4 linked regions of the Caenorhabditis elegans genome follow. The protein of the gene in region 4 interacts with the protein of the main gene of each other region in a biochemical or structural test. Each region holds a gene or a part of one and is shown on either strand. Other genes may lie near its edges. The genes, in order: npr-11, npr-4, npr-6 and flp-18.

What was found.
Region 1: of the proteins of flp-18 (region 4) and npr-11, one has a biochemical effect on the other in vitro, tested with the Caenorhabditis elegans proteins (one study listed by BioGRID).
Region 2: of the proteins of flp-18 (region 4) and npr-4, one has a biochemical effect on the other in vitro, tested with the Caenorhabditis elegans proteins (3 studies listed by BioGRID, with this or other methods).
Region 3: of the proteins of flp-18 (region 4) and npr-6, one has a biochemical effect on the other in vitro, tested with the Caenorhabditis elegans proteins (one study listed by BioGRID).

Annotation. Positions count from the first base shown.
Region 1 is NC_003284.9:1,251,282-1,257,494, forward strand, and holds npr-11 (Putative neuropeptide Y receptor 11), read right to left. Parts: upstream 4,367-6,213; 5' UTR 4,335-4,366; coding exon 4,224-4,334; intron 4,110-4,223; coding exon 3,960-4,109; intron 3,905-3,959; coding exon 3,756-3,904; intron 3,705-3,755; coding exon 3,506-3,704; intron 3,103-3,505; coding exon 2,933-3,102; intron 2,285-2,932; coding exon 2,188-2,284; intron 2,139-2,187; coding exon 1,978-2,138; intron 889-1,977; coding exon 717-888; 3' UTR 534-716; downstream 1-533. UniProt on the Caenorhabditis elegans protein: Could be a receptor for neuropeptide Y and peptide YY.
Region 2 is NC_003284.9:12,548,652-12,553,580, reverse strand, and holds the start of npr-4 (G-protein coupled receptors family 1 profile domain-containing protein), read left to right. Parts: upstream 1-1,903; 5' UTR 1,904-1,941; intron 1,942-1,991; 5' UTR 1,992-2,059; coding exon 2,060-2,124; intron 2,125-4,929.
Region 3 is NC_003284.9:10,282,306-10,287,630, reverse strand, and holds npr-6 (G-protein coupled receptors family 1 profile domain-containing protein), read left to right. Parts: upstream 1-1,896; 5' UTR 1,897-1,935; coding exon 1,936-2,019; intron 2,020-2,148; coding exon 2,149-2,235; intron 2,236-2,286; coding exon 2,287-2,381; intron 2,382-2,430; coding exon 2,431-2,516; intron 2,517-2,573; coding exon 2,574-2,686; intron 2,687-2,905; coding exon 2,906-3,082; intron 3,083-3,170; coding exon 3,171-3,346; intron 3,347-3,393; coding exon 3,394-3,531; intron 3,532-4,022; coding exon 4,023-4,096; intron 4,097-4,144; coding exon 4,145-4,228; intron 4,229-4,385; coding exon 4,386-4,480; 3' UTR 4,481-4,812; downstream 4,813-5,325. Other genes in the region: slc-9B.1 (Cation/H+ exchanger transmembrane domain-containing protein), read right to left, coding at 5,122-5,253, 5,308-5,325.
Region 4 is NC_003284.9:3,011,655-3,015,867, reverse strand, and holds flp-18 (SVPGVLRF-amide 3), read left to right. Parts: upstream 1-1,581; 5' UTR 1,582-1,589; coding exon 1,590-1,665; intron 1,666-2,707; coding exon 2,708-2,800; intron 2,801-2,849; coding exon 2,850-2,999; intron 3,000-3,047; coding exon 3,048-3,101; intron 3,102-3,147; coding exon 3,148-3,310; intron 3,311-3,360; coding exon 3,361-3,451; 3' UTR 3,452-3,454; intron 3,455-3,503; 3' UTR 3,504-3,678; downstream 3,679-4,213. UniProt on the Caenorhabditis elegans protein: FMRFamide-like neuropeptides. Ligand to G-protein coupled receptor npr-1. Involved in modulating locomotion quiescence during the sleep-like state called lethargus which occurs during molting between larval and adult stages, acting via npr-1.

The sequences.
Region 1 (6,213 bases), 1.8 Mb from region 4:
ACATTTGCATATAATACTCAAACGTAGCGTTTGCATTTTTTAGTGTACACAGTATACACGTGGCGTCAGGCTGTCTCATCACAGGTTGATCTACAAAAAATGCGGGAATATTTTTGCAAAAATTGTGACGTCAGCACACTTTTAACCATGCAAAATCAATTGAGATGTCTGCGTCTCAACTCCCGCATTTTTTGAAGATCAAACCGAAATGAGATATTCTGACTCCACGTGAGTATATACTTTTGTCCCAAAAGATTTTTGTTATCATTCTTACATCAAATCCCCCCTCCCTTAAAAAAAACAAGCTTTTTTGACCAGTTTCCGATGAGTAGTTCATTAAAATTCACTTTCCTGTCTCGAAACGAAGAACCAAAAACTTCCATATCCATGACGCCATTTGTTTTGAAAAGCTGCCGAACAATATGGTTGTTCAACTCAAAAATACCCTAAATTTTCCGCATGACTGCGCATTTCAGTCAGTCCCCTCCCTAATCTTCGGTCACTTCTCTCAAATTTGACCAATCATCTCTCTTATGACAAGCTTCATTTACAAATCTTCATATGTGAAACATAATAGGCTGAATCAGCAACATACTGACGGAAACGAAAAAAAAAGTAAAAAAAAAGAACATCAAAATCAAATAAATTAGGTTTTAGAAGCGTTTTGAAACAATGACGGAATGATTTATTGTTACCCTACATGTTTTCTTAAACAATCACAGCTGCTCATCTTGCTCCATCGCACTCAGAATCATACTTTCATTCATTCTCTGGAAGGTTGCTGGCTCTGCAGTAGTTACCGTCTTACAGCCTCCACGGCTTCTGAATTCAGTGCGCATACTTTTCTTGAGCGACTCTTGCTCTCCAAATATCACGACTCGAAGGGATCTGGAATATTGCGATATTTTTTTGAATTTTCAGATTTTTCTACAGTACAACCATCTATAATTTTCTTCAAATTTACTCATTATTCCGTGAGCCTAATCTCCGCAATTTTTGTAGATCAATGGTATTACGGGAACACAAAATTGTGAGAATGCGTACTGCACAACATATTTGACGCGCAAAATATCTCGCAGCGAAAACTACAGTAATTATTTAAATGGCTACTGTAGGTCGATTTAGGAGCTTGATTCTCAAATTGAATTAAAATCATTTGTTTATCAATATAATATATAAATTAAGGAGGAAAATATAACAAAAACGAAAAAAAATGGAATATTGATGTCCCTATTCAAAAAGAAAATCACTTCAAAAATTGAGCCCGTAAATCGACACAAGCACTACAGTAGTCATTTAAAGAATTACTGTAGTTTTCGCTACGAGATATTTTGCGCGTCAAATATGTTGTGCAATACGCATTCTCAAAATTTTATGTTCCCATAATAAAGGACCTCTTTATTATGCGTGTCAACTTAGGGCGCTTAATTGGTAGATCGCTTTTATTTTCTGGGTGTATCACGACTTTGATACAAAAGCTGTAAACCAGGCCACACACCGCAACAGTTCTTCTACCAAACTATTACAGTACCTTGGTAGTTCCTATTATATTTATATAACTCTTGAGGAAAGGTTTTCCACAGTGTAATAGCCCCACTGTGTTTAGACCACCTGCCGGCAGGGTCTTAACACGGCAATTTTTTTTCAAAAATTGGAAGGTGAGCCTTTAAAGAGTACTGTAGTTTACAACTCATTGTTTTTATCAACTAATTTTACGAAAAAAAAAATCATCAAATTAATAATTGAAAATTTGAGAAAACCGTATGTCTATGAAAAATTCATGAAATTTTAGCGATAATAAAGTTTGAAAATTACAGTACTCCTTCCTCAAAGGCGCACATACTTTTGTATTTAACAAAAATGTATCGTGACGGGACCTGGTACTGGACGTTTTTGTGCAAAATGACAAAATTGCAAAAATTTTCCACCAACTTTACACATAAGTGTTACCAAAATTAACTTAAAATGTTCACAAACCTCAACCCAACTCTATCGAAAAGATGCATAAATTCGATCCGGAAGTTATGATTGAAAAATGCATAGATCAGCGGATTCAAGCACGCCGAGCACATTGCCAAGCAGTGACAGATGCTGAACGTTGTAACGGAAAAACTGTTGACCAGCTCGAATGTGTTGAACTGAAATTTGTTATGGTTTTAGTGGAACATAAAACGAAAATGCTCCTACGATATGAAAAACGTTGAGTGGCAGCCAGGCGACGGCGAATACAGCTACAACGCATACAAGAAGGAGGTGGGTGCGTCGTTGACGTTCCACGACGGATCTGGAACTTTTTTTAAAATAATTTTATTTCGAAGAACATCTATTTTGTACAATAAATTATGTGAAAAATTTTAAGTTGTTTGATTTTTGAATAAGCTCAAAATTTAGTTCTCCAGGCAAGTAATGATCCGAAAGTTTCAAAAATAACTTGAAATTGGGTGATTGGGTTAATTTCAAAATGTTGTAGATATCAGTTTAGTATAAGTTCATTCACATGATTTTTTTACAAAAAATTAAAGTTTTTTACTAACATTTTTTGAAAATTTTATGACCGCAGATAAAATAACAAATTTTGAGCACATTTTTCTCGAAGTTTCACAGTAGTAAAGGTGGAATAGCCCAAATGGGTAAATTGATAAAAACAACTCCTATGGTGTCAAATATCATAGTAAAACATTTCAAAAAATGCTCTAAAAATTTTTATTGGGCTATTTATTTTTTTTGCACAAATAGAGATTTTCCCAATTTTCAAAAAAAATTACATCAAATTTAGAAAATTGTTTCAATTTTTAAATTGTGGTATTCGGCCCAGGTGGGTCAGATTTTCTCAGAAAAGTTCTGTTAGAACAGTGTTTCAAAAATTTCGAATGCCACTTAAAACGTGGAACTTTACATTTTTCGAAACAAAAACATTTCAAAAATTTCTTACCGTCTCCTCTGACTCGTATTGGTATTTGTTGTCACATTCTGATTTCGGTTTGCAAATCTCAGCTTCATCCGATGTGCTATCCGGGAGTAGGCGAAGACTAGTGAAAACAGGGGAAATGCGTATTGGGTGATAAGAACTGCCAACGTGTAGGTGCCTTTTGATATGATCATCTGGAAAAATTGGAGTTTAGCCGAAATTGTCTTTTTTTATATTTGTTTTTATATTTCCATACATACTGGTTAATATAATACCAGTTAACATGTTTTCAGAAAACTGAAAACTTTAAAAAGTCATTTGAAATTTTATTTGAAAATTTTAAAAAATCGGAACAATTTTTTTAAATTTTTTTTCAACTCTTTTATGTATTTGGAAATTATGACACATTTTCTATTACTCAAAGCAAATTTCCATAGAAAGTATTAAGCAAGTTCCCTTGACTATCGTCACACCATATTAACCTAATTATTACAGTAATACTACAGTACATAGACAGTTTTTATATTTCATTAATAGGAGCTGATACATGAAGCTTATTGTTTAGTTTATAGTTCATTTAGACCACTAAGAACCAACCTTTTCCCATATCTCATTTTGCTCATGGCAAATGTAAAGAGCCAAATCGCACGATGGCTCAACGAAAACCGGTGTCAAATCAGAAGCCTGCAGAAGTGGAACCGCAAGGATTAGGGAAATCACCCAGATCATGATAAAAAAGCAGAACGACAGATTTTGTTGTCGTTCTCGCTTCGTTGGGAAGATAATGAGCACGTATCTGAAAACTTGTTAAATGGCATTTTTAATTAAAAAAAATATATGTACATACCTATCAACAGCAATTGAGGCTATCGAGAATGTGGATAAAAATATGTTAAAGCCTTGCAGCGAACCCGCAATTTTGCATAATGTCCTGCTAAATGGCCAGAACATGTAGAGAACCGTGTATAATGTGGTCGGCGCTGTCACAATACAAACCTGGAATTTTTCAAATTGTTTCCTATCTTCAATAATTCCAGCAAAAAATACTCACAAAAAAGTCCGACAGCGCCAAGTTTAAAATGAAAAAGTTCCTTGTTGTCCGCATTGCTGGGTTGAGTATGACTACGATGATTGTCAAAAAGTTGCCTATTGCTCCAAACAAAATGATCAGCATGTATGCGAATGTGATGAAATATCCGAACTGAAAATTTGAATGTTAAGTTTTGAGTAAGCACTGACCATTTTTAAATTTGCACTGACAAAGTTTTGATTTGCACTGACAAAATTTAAAAAAATTGTCTTTTTGAATACCAACCTCTTTTGGTGAATACTCAGTCCCATTGATAACCTGATCATCTCGAAAAAAGTAGTTGATTTTGTTGAAAATTTCTACATAATTGTCACATGATTCATTCACCGATCCCATTTGTTGAAAGTTCTGAAAATACCGACGAAAATACAAAAATACGGGAGATGAAATTGAAGGCAAGAAAAAAAATATGTGAAACGCCAATTTTCTCACACAGAAGGGAAATAAATAAACGAATATTCCAAGAAATTGAGCATCCAGACTAGTGGTTAGTCGGTCGGTTATAAGAGAAAAATATCAAAAAATGAGAGGTAATTACTGCGAATTATAGAGAAGAAATGAAAATTGAAAAGTGAAAACTATCATCTCATTTAACTCATTCTCCCGCCCCGGTGTCTACTCCCATATCCCTTTTAAATTGAAACTTTATAAAAACAATAACGTTGAAAGACAGGGGTTTGGGAGCAATATGTGCACCGAATTTCAGGAATAACTTAGTTTTTTTTTTTAATAATATTTTTTCAATTTTACCAGCCACAATCATCTATGTTATGCTGCCTAAAAATACACAACTTGCACTGACAAGATGTTTAGTTGCACTGACCAAAACTTCGAATGACTTTATCCAATGGCTATCATATATGCCAATTGCACTGACAAAATTTTCAGTTGCACTGACCACTATATCATTTGCACTGACAAAAATTTTGATTGACTTTATCAGTTGCACTGACCACATCTCCATTGCAATGACCATAATTTTTGGTTTACTGTTAAGAATTGCACCAAATTCGAAAGAATCTCGCAAACAGTCAAAAGCTATAGGAAATAGCAAAAATTAATAAATGTGTGGGAGCAGTTCATGAAAAATAATTTTGAAAAAACAAAAGAAGCGGTGAATGAGCTCACCAGAGACAACCAAATACGATTAAACCAAACTAGTAGCATCACCACAAGAATAAAAAATTTATATGACTTTGTTTTGACGGAACTCGTCTTTTCAACCGCCATTTATTTCGGCCACCCAGGTCGGTTTTTTTAAACATTTCTCTCTGCCATCTTGTGGTGGATATCCATAAACATCGGAAATGCAGGAACGGGCCGGATATGAAATGGAGAAGTGAAACACAACAACAACATCAACAAAAGAAAACTGGTATCAGAAAACAGAACTTTGTGTGTTTTTAAAGGTGGAGTTCCAAAATCTGAGACCTTGAGACTTTCCATTTTTCAGACCAAAAATTTTCGAAAATTTTTTTTTCCGAAAAACAATTGTAGAAATGAGGGGTTTTTTGAGCTAAAATCTCGTTTTTTCACAATTTTGCCAATTAAAAAAGTCCCAACTTGAAGAAATAAGGTTCATTAAATTATCACCCCCTGCGACACATTTTTTCGATTTTTTGATTTTTACAGGGAAACTTTCGAAAAATCGATAAATTAAAATGTTTGTTTTTTGAAAATCTGAAGTAAAAAATTCCGATTTTCTTCAATTTTTTAAAGGGAAAATCGGAAAATCGAAAAATTTTTCCATTTTTTTGAACAATTAAATCGTTAATTTTGTATAAAAGTTTACAGAAAATTAACGATAAAATTATAATTTTTAATCAAAAACCAAACAAGAAAATGTTTGATTTTTTGATTTTAGTTAAAAAAAAATCAATCTAATCTACTGCAAAATCGGATTTTTCCAAAACTTTGATCCAACTTAACTTTGTTTTGAGAAAATTTTAAGCAAAACTAAATAACAATTATTTTATCAAAATTTTGGATTTTATAGTAAATTTTCATAAAGGGTAATAATTAAATGAAACTTACTTATTCAAGTTCTGATTTTATTTAATTGAAAAAATTTTAATTTTGGCTAAGATACAACTTTTTTTTCCAAAATTTTACACCACCATTTCATGTTTTTCGAATAAATTTCAAAACCTTTCAGTACAAAATTCGGTAGTTTCATGTCAAATTGAATCTAAAAAAAGCAAATTTTCAGATTTCT
Region 2 (4,929 bases), 9.5 Mb from region 4:
TTTAAATAAATGCACAATGTTTTTTTCGTTTTGCAGAAGACACATGAACTTCAAAAAAATTAAAAATTAATGTATCCTCTAAGGCAAGTAAGTTGACTCTAAAGTAAGTGAGGCACAAAGCACGCAAATTTTGATGAATTTATGGGAATTTGTGTTACCAAACGTAACCCGCAGTGTAACTTAGCCGAAATTTTTTTGCCGGAACACTTTCAGTTTTTGCAAAAAAATCAATCTCAAGTTACGATTGGAAAGTTTTTTAAACGAACAATTTTTGAAATTTTCGATGAGCTTTTTATCAAATCACAGCTGAAACAAAGCGGACTTTGTGAAGATTCATGTTTTTATTTATTAATGTAATACATACGAAAAAAAAAACAAAATTATAAATATCTGTGCAACAAGCCCACAAACTTTTCACTGACTTTGTTGTTTTTATGGATAATTCCAGTGTTTCTTACTAATTTATAAACGCTGATAAATAGTTATGTATTTTGAAAGCAGTCTCTGAAAAAAAACACGATATTAAATCAAAAAAATTTTACAAAAAAGCAAAAAGATTTGATATACATAACATTGTAACAGAATTTACGGCCTTTCCAACAAAACAAGTTTCTGTTGTCTTATAAAAATTATTCCAAAGATCTGGGAAAGTTCATTCAATATCCCCAGCGCTCATTACCATTTTCTTACGCATCGCACTTGGTCTCCGAACCTTCATTGCATTCACCTGAATCTTAGATAGCAAATGACGAAATCAGCCCAATCCTCCAATCATCCAATCGCAGACTTGAATAATCAACGCAACATTTGCACATCCTTAGAGGTCATCCCCGCATGACTCTATCATCCTTTTCTCCGAACCTTTTTTCCTCCGCTCTCCGCCCTCCATTCTTCTTTTTCCTGGCTTCAATCCCTTTTTTTACAACCAAATGGACCCTCTAAGACAATTGAGCAACGCCTGCGGAAGAAGGGCAAGCCAATCTGCAGTCGGTTGGTCCTTTTTTATTATTTACCTTACACTTGTTTCCGTTTTAATTGTTGCGATCTTTGTACAAGAAGAAAATCATGTTGGTTTTTGATGAAGTGAGTTCGGAGTTCGAATTGTTCTTTCAACTCCAAAAATCGAAGCACTTTTGTTTTATATTTTCGGTTTCACAGTATAACAAAAATTTGTTTGTAGAGTCATGTTTAGATTAGTATATAAAAATGTTAAATTCCACAAATTTGATTGAAAAACAAAAGTAGTGATTATTGTTTGTGTATTTCTCGAAACTTATTTTTCCAATTGTAAGGAAATATGAAATCAACTAATTCTATGGATAACATATAATTTAGTTTTAATTTGAAAAATAAAATAATGTTGTAGAACTTTAATGTAGTACACATTGAAAAAAAATAGGTTTGGCGGTAAAGCTTTCTAGTTCACCCATCTTCAAGTAATGCAAAATTGAAGTTTTCTTACCTGTTCTAGTTGGTTTTGAAATTCTCCTTAAACAAATTAAAGATAATTTTATTCAATTAAAAAATATTTTCCAGTATTTGACTTTTCACCAAAGTTAAAACAACTTGAAAAAAAGTTCAAGGTGTTTTCACATGTTCTAGTCTAGACTAGTTTCTTCAAAAGTGAAAAGACTTACAAAGGCAAAAATCCTTTGTCATTGTAATCCTCCGCCATAAAATTTTGTTTGTTTTTTTCTAAGAATCTGAAAATTAACTTTTCCGCCTGTCTTGCTCCATTTTTCTCATTCCAACTCGATTAGTTTATTGCATTAGTGCAGAATGTACAAACGTTTCTGAAAACAAACGCTTTTGGTGCCAGATGTTGAGGATAATATTAATCTTTTCTCACAATTTCTTCTTGTCCATTCTTTCTTTGAATTTATCTAAATACAATTTGTTTCAGCCCAGCTTGCCTTGGCACCAGGCTCTCATTTAATCACGGTAAGCCTCTCGGTCACTGTAAACTATATAACCAATCGTTTGATTTTCAGATATCAACACAAAGTTTACGGAGAATTGCAACTGAAAAGTTGTTAGGTGAAGACACATATACAGAACAATGTTACTGGAAATTGGCACAATAACAATCGGGAATATAACCCGAGCAAGAAAGTTTGGAGAAAGGTAAGTTCCTGAAAATGGAAAATGGGTCCCCCTCCGCATTTCAAATGAGGTGTCTATTAGTTTCTGGGAAAGTTGAAAGAGAAACCCTCCCACAACTCAAGTGTTAAAGTTCTAAGCCCAAATTCAGACACTTGTGAATATTAGATTATTGCCTATTTTGACGAGCTATGGTAAAAAAAACAACACTAATTTCGAGTGAAAACTCCAAAATTGTGGTGCACTTGTCACACCATCACTCATTCTCTGACAAATCTCGATTGTGTTTTTGAGCCAACCAGCTCTTATTCGTCGCCGTCAAAACTTTCTTAAATTGAAATCACATCTCGAAACCTTCTTCCGTTTTGCATAAAATTGAATTTAGTTCAACAAGTTTAAAATGCCACCCCTTTTCTAGAAAACAAATGATGACGTTTTCCACGTTTCTCAGTTGAGAACGAGTCATGCGACTTTCAATTGGTGAAGTTCTTTTTTTTTTCTTCTGAATTGGTGTTTTTCCATTACCAAAAAAAAAAGGGTTTTTGATCTTTAGATCAACATTCTCAATTTTTCGGTGCCAATCAAGATTCTTGGTGCATTGCGTTAGACAATACTGAATTGCAGCTAATCATGTAAAACAAGAAACAAATCATTGGCAAAATTGAGAAATTGTACCCAGTAAAACTAAAAAATATGGATCAAAGGGTGGTGTGAGTTTGTTGGGTGTTTTTCGCAGATCAATGGCAATTCGTTTGTGATTTTGAAAAAAATCGCTACAATTGTGAACATTGCTCTTTTTGACTTTTTGCTAACGATTTTACAATAGCTCAAATGTTGAACTTTTACTTTTCAAGATTCTTATAGTAAGACTTTTCTTGAACGATTTAATCTAGATTTTTTGGATCCAAAAACAGTATTCCTCTTACTCGTTGTACTTTTTGGCACTTCATTCTCCTACGGACCAACCACTTCATCTTTGCAACTTTTCGCTGACCTAAGATAATCAAATTCCTTAGAAGGAAGGAAAACTTTGAAACTTTCTCCCGCTCTCTCGAGTTTTTTATACCACCCACCTATAGTTCCTCTCTGTCTCTCTCTCCGTACTCATTTCATTAATGACGTTTTAAAATAGAGCCGCTAAAGAATTGATCTTATATATTAGGAGAGAAACGCATAGTGTTCGATCTTTGATGCTCAAAGCTCAAAATGTTAAAAATGCCAGCATGGTGTTATTATAATGTATCTGAAATACAAAATTAGAAGGTATCTGCAGAAATGCTGACGTGAAATGTGGGAAGGGGAAAGAGGAAAAAAGTTTTTACGATTGGTTGTGAGTAGGCGGAAAGATATGTTGTACAGCCAGTGGGGACATGATTAAAACCGTTTAATATTGCAAAAATGATAAAATATTATGATAAACTTTTCAAAAGCTATTGAAATTTTTTTTTACTCCGAGTCAAGATTTCAAAAATTTCATTTTGATATTTGGTAATTTTAGCACCACTATTGTAATGGTTTTCAATTATTTTTCACCTACCGTACTACAGCTTTAAGATTGTCACAGCACTCCGCTTTTTCTTTTGTTTCCTTTGAACCTGCTGAAGAACATGATTTTTTTTCCAAAATCTTTAATAATTTGCAATATTACCGTATACATATTTCCTGGTTGTTACGGACCTCAAAAATAATTTTCAGTTTATATAATTGTGATGTGCTTTTGTTTTGAAAACACCACATTGTCTAGCCCATTTGCTTTTTTTAAATGAATTTTTTATGAATTATGAAAACTACTTCCACTTAAAAAATCAGTGGTTCTGGGAAAATAACCATTTATTTCATTCCGTCTTCTTGTTTTTTTGACCGCGATGAACAAATACAAAATGAGAACATTAAAAGAAAACCAAAGTCACGAGACAACGTAGGCACCCAATTGTCTCGTAATTTATGAAAACACCAGTCACCAACCTAGAAGTACACCTTTTAGCCGGTCCCGATGAGGAAAACAATGAACAAAGGTTGAAGTTTTGCTATATGCATGTTTGACGCAGTCTGGCTTGTCCGGAACAAGATGTGCAATAGATTCGAGCTTTTGCGAATATTTTGGAAGAAATAGTAAATGGCCCGATATATCTAGATGAGACTTGGACGGAGGAGTAAAGTGGAAATTCGTTTACTTCATTCTATTTTGTGCTTAAAGAAGATATTTATCTGAGAAGCGTTGGGAAATGCATTTAACGGAAAAAGCCTTTCACATTCAAATTTTAATTTTCGATTCCTTGGCCAAGTTCATGTTGCGCTGCGATAGGCTTAGTATAATATTTTCGGAAGTTATTTGCATGTTCAGCAGATTGCGTCACAAATGCCATTTGTCCGATCAATTGAGCTTATTTTTATGTTACTATTTGGGAGGGTTGAGTAAGAAAATGCTAACTAACATCGTTTTTTGTCTTTTGAGATTTGAGAAATTTCTTATTTGCTTTCTCATCATTCTTTGTATTCTCAAAAATGAATGTGAACCTTGGAAAACGCTTGTAAGTTTTTTTTGATTCTTGAAGAGTTGAAACTGGGCAATTTTTCAAATTTATAGTAACTCGCAATGTTTTGAGAAATTTTCAATTTTCGGTTCTTTTTGAATATTACACATTCTACGTATTAGTTTCAATTTTCAAAATTGTTTAAAACGTTCATAATACACATTTCTCCCTAGAAAGAATGTTTAATTATTTTGTAAAGGTTCTCCCCAATTGATCACAAAAACATGTTGCGCATTCTGCTCAACTTGAATGCTTGTATCAATTATGAATGATGGTTTAATTTGAGTATTCACGC
Region 3 (5,325 bases), 7.3 Mb from region 4:
TTGGCATATTTAAATACAAATACAAGTTCACATATATTCAATACGTTTTCAACAAAATTACATACAATCGAAACAATTTCTGATTTTGTTGTTTTTTTCGAACTCTTCCCGAAGATATGAGTGAATAAGTGAAGCTGATCATGGTTTTTGAGGCTTTTTGCTGAAAACATATCATCATCATTTTCGGAGAACACAGAACTCACCAACCAATTTGATTCACTTTAGTTTCGTCGTTCGAATCAAATTTTTATCTGACTAGTAAATATTATGAATTAGAAGAAAAACGTCTGAGTTTTTTGTTCTCGGTCAACTGATTTTTTCTCCAAACCGTGCTCACTTATCTATTTTGATAAATGTGACGTTTCATTAAAATTTTCGTTGTGTCATCAAGTATACTCCTTGAGCTAAAATTTATATTAATTTTCGATTTATTCTGATTTCTGTTTTCAAAAATGTTTTCCTACGCTCATTATCCAATTTCTATCCTTTGCCTTACAATTTTGAGCTGTATTTGGTTGTCTCAGTTTCACCAAAGCTTATCCGCCCTCTCAGAATTGTTTACTTTAGTTCATGTGCAACGTTTCTCCTTTTCCACCTCAAGGAGTGCTTCAGTTTTTCTCGACTTTTTTCTGGTGCCCCTCATCGCCCGGTCGAAATTCAATTTCCGCGGTATTGGAGTCGGATTTCCAGACGAAAAATAGAGAATAGACGGATGAACCCTATACATAGACAGGGCAAGGGCAAAGACGAAACTATCAAAAGGAAATGTTCTAAAAAAGGTCACCTACTATGCGAGTCCTTTTTTTTGCAACAATGAGAGCTTTATCAATCAAGATAATAACATTATCCTTGGTTCGTAGTAGCCTACATCTCATGAATGTTTCACATCCCACCATTTAGAGAGATTAAATCCATTGGCTCCTTACATTATCTTTTTTCTATTTCTTCTCCACGTCCATATTTCATTTCTGATTTTCAATTGAAACCAAATAATTTGAATCTAGCTTGTTGAACTTACGTAAGCGTCTTCTTCTTCGAATTTCGACCCTTTCTTTCTGTTTTTTATAGGAAATTCAAAATTCGCTTCATCGAAGATGAATTCATAACATAAATCAAAGGACTCTCGATTCGCTTTGTGCGTTTGCGTACCAGTTTTTAGGCAAATTTTAAATAAATGAGTATGTAGTTTGTTTAACGTAAAGGGAAAAAAGAAGGGTCTCAGCTTATTTCGAAAAAGAGAAAATTTCTCACATGTATATGGATTCTTTCCCTTTTAAAAGTTCACGACGCCTCCTCTTTTCTCACTTTGAGATTCACTTTTCGCGTCTAGAATTGCAAGTCTCACACAGAAAGTGAGAAAATAAGAAAATGAGGGAAGTGTTTGGCTCATGTTCTCTTTTTTATTTGATTGACAAGAAGAATTGAAAACAAACAATTTTTAAAAAATCATTGAAAACTTTGGGTTCTATTGAATCTGTTTAATAGTGTATTATTAATATTGTAATTTTTATTGATTTTTTTTTTCAAAAATCATGACATCAGTTTTGTATTATATGAACTATGTAGATTTCTAGTTTAGATGTGGTCGCTCTTCTAGTGTCAATTGCAAAGATGCGAATATCATTAAATTTTCATAACTGACTTAACATATTCTCAATTTTATATTCTTTTGGGAGCTTTAAATTTGAAAATACTTCTAACATCTTTTGCTCTATGAAACGTGTCAAATCTCGTTTTTTCTCCTTAAAATCAAGTTCATTTCCGACTCTTCCACCGCGCCCACGTCAGAATATTATGAACTTAAAGAGGTCTAAACGAGACACATCGCAACCAAACATATCCAGTTCACAATTCTTAAAATGTACTCGATTTATCTCCCGATTCTAATATTTTCAGCTCTTCGTTTATCCCAATTTCTGATAATATTTGATTCAGATGTCGAATGATCTCGTGCCTTCAGTGTCTTCTATACTAAATGAAACAACACCTTCATATCAAAGTACATGTAAAATCAAAAACGTAAGTTTTCGTGTCCAAAATTGTTCGTGAACGTTTGAAAAAAAATCAAAAATGTTCATTGAAACTATTTGATTATGAATTATTTTAACTGAAGCCGAGTAATTTTTATTTTAAAAAAACACGTTTCAGAACCCCATGGAAATGGAATATTTCCGCCCATTCTTTATTTCTATGTATTGTGCTGTTTTTTTGGTTGCTAGTTCCGGTAATTTTTTGGTAAGTAATATCATTTTCGATTTCTCCAGTTTTCCAACAACTGTGTTTAAGGTGGTGTACGTTGTGATGACGAACAAGCGAATGCAGACGATCACCAACATTTTTATTACAAATCTCGCAGTTTCTGATATAATGGTTAACTTTACGTGGGTTTTTTTTGAAATCGGAAGTGATATATCCGGTTCTTATATTCAGATCGTTGTGGCTTACACCAACATACACCTCAATAGGACATTGGATATTCGGAGGTGGATTGTGTCATGGTTTACCCCTGTTCCAAGGTATTGGTTTACATATAGACGGGAAGTTAAGCAGTGATCAAGCATCTAACTATACAGGTACAAGTATCTTCATCAGTACGTGGACACTTACGGCTATAGCCATAGATCGATACATAGTGATCGTGCACAACTCATCAAATATCAATATAAATGATAGAATGTCCATGAGAGTAAGTTGAGCAGGAACAATGTATCAATAAAAAACCTAACTCCAAAAAACCAAAACTCTCATTTCTTAGTCTATAGAAAGGTGTTTTTGAAGTACAGTTAACAAAGTAACCTCCATGAAAATAATAGTTTTTCCTGTTTTCGGTGTAGAACAACTTTGTAATTGGAAAAAATTCTAATTTTTAAAATTTTTTTGAAACTTTCGTACATACCAAATTCAGTCTTGCCTTTCGTTCATTGTCCTCATTTGGCTATGCTCATTGCTTCTGGTCACTCCGTATGCCATCAACATGAAGCTCAACTACATTCATGAACCATGTGATTTTCTGATATGTAGTGAGGACTGGAGCAATGCCGAATTTCGATCTATTTTTGGAATTGTGGTGATGATTCTTCAAGTGAGTTGGGGACAATGAAATTATTTGTATAAATTACCGGGGGATTATATATACATATATCTATGCCTATGCACAAATCAATTTTCAGTTCATTTTGCCATTTGTACTCATTGCCATTAGTTACATAAAAATATGGTTGTTCCTAAATAGCCGTCAAAGTATGACCGAGAGAAAATCCGATATCAAGCGCAAAAAGCGTTTACTACGGATGTTGATTGTCATGGTGGTCATCTTCGCAATTTGCTGGTTCCCATTCAACCTCTTGTTAGTTTAGAAGTGAATAATATGTCATATATTTGAAATAAATTCAGAAACTGTCTCCGAGATCTCAAGTTGGATAATTTCATGCGTGGCTACTTCAGTTTTGTTTTCCTTTCCGTGCATTTGATGAGTATGACAGCTACCGCCTGGAATCCAATCCTCTACGCATTCATGAATGAGACCTTCCGGTGGGTTTATGGGATTTGCATTTCGCCGCCGTCTGGTCGAAAACCCGTTTTAAACAATACAGACAACAATTGATAATCATTAGTGACTCAACGATTTATTGGAAAATAAATTGCAGTTAAAAGATTACGAGGGGTTGTTTTCTTCTCGTTCAGGTTGAAAATACAAGTTATAAAATTTGATACGTAAACATGTGCTAGAAAATACAATTGATAAAAAGTCAAGAAGTTTTATCTTAGACTGCATTTGTGTGTTCAGTTCTCATTTATTTTATTAAAAATTTATTTTTTATAAATACTCAATAAAATTTCCTCTCGTGACACTGTTTCTTCTTATAATTAGAAACAGATTAAACTAAAAAAAAAGACACTTTTTGGTAAATTTAGGATTATTTAAAAAATTTGCACAGTTCAAAATTCAATTAAATTCAATTAAATTAAATTCAATAAATTGAATTATTTAATTTTCATTTTCTTGCAATGCTCATTTTCAGTGAGGAGTTCGCAAAAGTTGTTCCCTGCTTGTTTGCGCGTCGTCCTGGAACTGGTCCAATTCGCGTCATCACTGGTAAAACCTGATAAATTTGAAGTTATTTTTGCTTAGCTTTTTTTTTAGAACGCACCGCTATGATAACTAACCCGTTTCGACGTGCAAACCGAAAAAAAAAAGTGGAGGAACAGCCTGTTACGGTGATTTCTGGTGAGTTTTACTTTTATGTTGTTTGATCCTTAGTTATTCTTCGTTAAGAACTTTTACACCCGACATCCAACGAAGAATAGGAAGCCATTCATTCCCTGCATGCACTCGTTGTCAGTGAACTTTTCAACAAACCAGCAATCTTTAGAAACAGATTCAGAGAGTCCACTTCAAACTGCAGTGGAGCCGCAGCGCAGTATCGTGTATCTCGATGAGCCTGAGAACGGATCAAGTTGTCAGACGCTTCTGCTTTAAGCCGCTCAATACAAAACCGGAAAGTCAGAACAAAAGTCGCTTTTAGTCATGTCACTTGCCAGTACATTTATCCGCTTTCCACTTGCCTTCATATGTAATTTTCATAAAAACACTTATTCAACATTTTATTTTTTTGGTCATATTGTTTTTCTTTCCTAAGATTTTTTCAGCTAAATCTCTGATCAAACCTGTCCTGATCTAAACTATGTGGTTATACTTAACTTATGCACTGCTGTATTTGCACAAATCTTGCTTGATGCTGATTTATCTTTTGTTTCTTCTTCTTGTCACATTTTGATAAAATATTTGTAAATGAAATTTCATATTGGTTACAAAAAATTGGTTCAACTGGTGTGGTTGATAAGATCAGATATGGTTCAAGTAAGAAGGGTATAACAGAATCATGACGAAATTTCAGAATGACATATTTAAAAACATGCTGGAACGGGAAATTGGTAGATGTGGATAAGTAAAATAAATCGAATTGGAAAATTGGTGAAATGTCTTTTCCTGGTTATGGTCATTTAAATTGAATTTGAATTGACTTGATAATAATATTATAAATATGGGAAATTAGGAATTATTTTGTTTTTTTTTTCAGAGGAAAATTGTAATAAAATCTAAAAAGTTTGGGTAAATTTTTAATATCTTTCGATAACAGCTTCACTGCGGTATTCCGAATATGTCTTCGGACGGGCGGCATAGATGGTTTCATCAACATGATCACCATTCATATAGGTTTTGTCAAAATTTTTCTCAATTGCCGGCGCATCCTGAATGAAAATTTGTTTCACATTGCATTTCAAAAATGGGAGTGAGAACGCTACCTGTGGATTGTATTGAGA
Region 4 (4,213 bases):
GGTCATGAAAAAGTAAAACTTACAACTTTTTACTGAATATTAACCAGTCTCTATAAATATCCCAGCTTAGCCGGAATAGGGTCACGAAAACATGAAAATAAAGCTTGAACCTATTGTTATGATTTTCAATGCCACCTTTTGCAGTTTAATATACACTATTACTACTTCTCAGTTCAAGTTCACTTCTGAGACGGAACCTTTATTTTCTAACTTTCTTTAATCTTACTTTTTATGAGCCGAATGTTCTATTTTGTAAAATGATCAGATACAAGCCCAAAGCTAATTTTGCCAATAAGTGTTAGTAGATCAATTGAATTACAATATAATGACCTGGGCGGAATAGATTTTTGCACTGATTTTTTTCCAAGCTTACTCTATGAATATTCATAGATCATCTTCAAAGGTAGCGTGTGTTGTAGTTGTGTTTTGGCGGGTTCGTGTTATTTGACTCAGCTCAAGTAGATGTTGTAGTCTTCCCTCAATCAACGCGTGGGCTTGACCCTCTTTAAATTGAGTGGAAACCAGCCAATCTATTTGAAATCTACCCCCGAAATGAGATTCGACGATGACACGACGTGTGTGTTACGTGCGCTGAGAATTTAGGAAAAAAAAGATAATCTTCTTTTCGTTAGCTGCGCCACAACCTGTGCAGATAAACTCCGCACAATTGAAGTTCTTACTGGTCCCACCCGATTTATTCAATTGTATTGTGTCTTTTTTTCTTATTTCTCTACAACTCTAACTTTCTTCAACTATTCTCTACATCAGTGCTTTTTTCCACCATGAAAAAAGAAATGACGTCGTTGTTTCTTAGGAGGGGCGGAGCCTCAACTCAATGGTCCGTTCGAATAGATCCCACCCCTCATATAAATAGGACTGAAACCAAAGAAGTTTTTAAATTTTCAGCTTACCGTGTTTCTCAATTTTCAAAATAGTCTTTTTTGTGTCTGAACGGGCTGATCAATTATGTTTTTTTTTGAATGAAAAATCTTCCTCCCAAGCCTTAAAATTCCTTCCAAAGATCGAAAGTTATGTCTATTCAAGTTACTTCTTCTTAGATCAAATATTAAACAAAAAAATACGCCATCATTCTCTCACATTTAGTAATTCAAAATTTCGATTTGTTTTCGAACTTTTGAATTTCCCGCCTAGGAAGTGACATGAGTGAAATCTCATTAGATAAATGTGCCACTCACCGATGACACTATTTTCAAATAAGGGGGGGGGGTGTTTCGAATACCTTGTACACGCGTTTCCGCAAAACCACACACCCCGAGTTCCTCAGCTTCTTCCCCTCGACCCATGAGCCACGTCAAGATGTCAGCGTGTCACTTTTCATTGCTTCACCTTCTACGGTAACGAGAAAAGGCGGGGAATCCAGGATCTGGTGTGACTTCTTCCTTCTTCGTATCTTCCTAAAAATGTTCGTTTACTTTTTAGCGAGTGTCATTTGATGGGATGTCGTTCTTGAGGAAAGAGGCTAGAAGCTTAATACTCTCATATTTCATATTATTGGCATCAAGACGTTTATTATTTAACTACAATAACGATTGCTTTAACAACTAAAAATAATAATTTCAGGGTTAGACATGCAACGGTGGTCGGGCGTTCTTCTCATTTCGCTGTGTTGTTTGCTTCGTGGGGCGCTCGCATATACCGAACCAAGTAAGTTCTTGATGAACGAAACAAAGAAAAGTCTTGGCTGATCCAATCTCTTAATTGGGTTTGAAGGGAGTTTGGATAGCCCCAGATCAGCGTGGAAGATTGAATAAAATGACGGCAATAATTTGTCTTAATGTAATCTTGAATTTTATTTTAAAATTTTTAACTTTGTAGTTTGTCGAAACGTTGGTTTCGCGTACATTAGTTTTTTTTCAAAATTCTGGACCTGACGTAGTTAGCTGAAATAATTTTGCGCGGTGTTCAAACATCGCATCCGTATTGAAACTTCATTAGTTTTTATAAGCTTCTGTGATATTCATTTTCCAGTGAGACCTATGAATAATCTTCGCTGCTTCCCACGGTCCGTGAATCTCTAGACTTGGTGTTATTGTCTTATTGAAAAGTGTTTCCACTGACCTTCAAACTTTCTATAATCTAGAGTGGCCCAATGTATTTTTGGAAGGAAAAACGCTTGGATGAAAACAAGATGTAGCGGGAAAAAAAGGGGGCGCCTATGGATATTGTGGAAAGATAGTGTTGAGTTGGATGCTGAGTTTTTTATTCTTTCTTGTCGGGGCCCGTTGGGACATGTTTCGTTCGATGGTGCTCTGTACCCATCTAGACCAACGCGGGAAGCCAAGTAAAATGACGCTGTCGTTCTGCCAAAGTGATGTATTTCGACGATTTCAATCAACAAGAAACGTGTTTTTTTTCGTTTCTTTTTTCAACAGGGGTGCACAATTGAATTGTGTCGATTTGAAAGCATGAATTTGAAATTTTTGAAAATTCTCGTAAGGTCGATCGAAACACATACATAACTGCAATTAGGAGGAATTTGGACGCTTAGCGTCCGATAGGGGCGCAAACTTTTTTTTCCAAGGGGTAGTTTTTCACGGCGTCCGATAACTTCCGAGTTTGACCACTCACTATACATAATCATATAATTTTATAATGAGTGGCTCAACTCGGAAATTGTCGGACGCCGGACGTCCGATATGGCAGCCCTAAATACAAGACGGCACATTGAAACAACTTATATTTTCAGTCTATGAAATCGTCGAAGAAGACATACCAGCAGAGGATATCGAAGTGACTCGGACCAACGAGAAACAAGACGGTCGGGTATTCTCAAAAAGAGGTACAAAATTCTTCGTACAACTAACCATCAATTTTTTGTCTAATTTCAGACTTTGATGGGGCGATGCCAGGTGTGTTGCGCTTTGGAAAACGTGGAGGTGTTTGGGAAAAAAGAGAAAGCAGTGTGCAGAAAAAAGAAATGCCGGGAGTGCTCCGTTTCGGTAAACGTGCATATTTTGACGAGAAGAAAAGTGTTCCAGGTAAGTAGTTCCTTGTTGGTTTATTGCATACTGAAAATTGACTTTCAGGAGTTCTTCGCTTCGGGAAACGCTCATATTTCGATGAGAAGAAAAGTGTTCCAGGTGGCATCATCATCTATTCTAAATCAAATAACATCTCAGTTTTTAGGCGTTCTTCGTTTCGGAAAACGTGATGTGCCAATGGACAAACGGGAGATCCCAGGAGTGTTGAGATTCGGAAAGAGAGATTACATGGCTGATTCGTTCGACAAGCGCAGTGAAGTGCCCGGAGTTCTCCGTTTCGGAAAACGCGATGTTCCCGGTGTATTGAGGTCCGATCATTTTAAGACTTCATCCAGCTTACCAAGGTTTTTGTTTTCAGATTTGGAAAGCGATCCGACTTGGAAGAGCATTACGCAGGGGTTTTGCTCAAGAAAAGTGTGCCAGGTGTTCTCCGATTCGGACGGAAGTAAATTGTAAGTTTCTAAATAAGATTTTGCCAGTCTGACATGTATCAAGTTTCAGATGAATGTGAATGTAAAATGTGCCAGCGACAATTCGATGATCTCGTTGTTTTTCTTCTTTTCTTCCGAGCGTCTCATTTCAATCACTTAATATTAAGTTTTTGTCTCTTTTCAACAATGATACTAAACGTTGTCAATTCTAGAGCTCCATACGATTAAATGAATCATTTCCTGTTACGTCAAACACAGTTCGTCTAATTTTTGAGTAATGTAGTTGTGTGTCTATCAATTGTTTTCTGAACAATGTTGAAAAGCAGATTTGTTCATGGTTGACGTGTGTTGAAAAGAATAATTACCTCCAACTCTGTGCATTTTAGGAATTGATTCATTGAGCTTTCAAACGATGAAAAAGTATGCTTTGTGTTATGTCAGTTATCAGATTAGATAAGTCTAAACAGAACCCAGTGTGAAATGAGTCTATTCATGAAGCTGCTGAAAATTTGAAGCATGTGTATCAAAATGATTCCAAAAAATTTGAAACGCAGAAAAGTTTTTTGAATTATCAAATAACCAACTTCATGTGCACAGGTAATTTCCGTCCTTAATTCTCTTTCAAGTTTCAGATTTGATTAATTGAATCTGGGATCATGAAGATTTTTTCAAACTGCTTTTCCCAATACACTGATGAATCTAGTACTGTACAATTTTTCTTTCATTTCAGAGAGAGCATCAATATTAAAATTAATTGTAAGCAAGTCAACAAAGTCAACA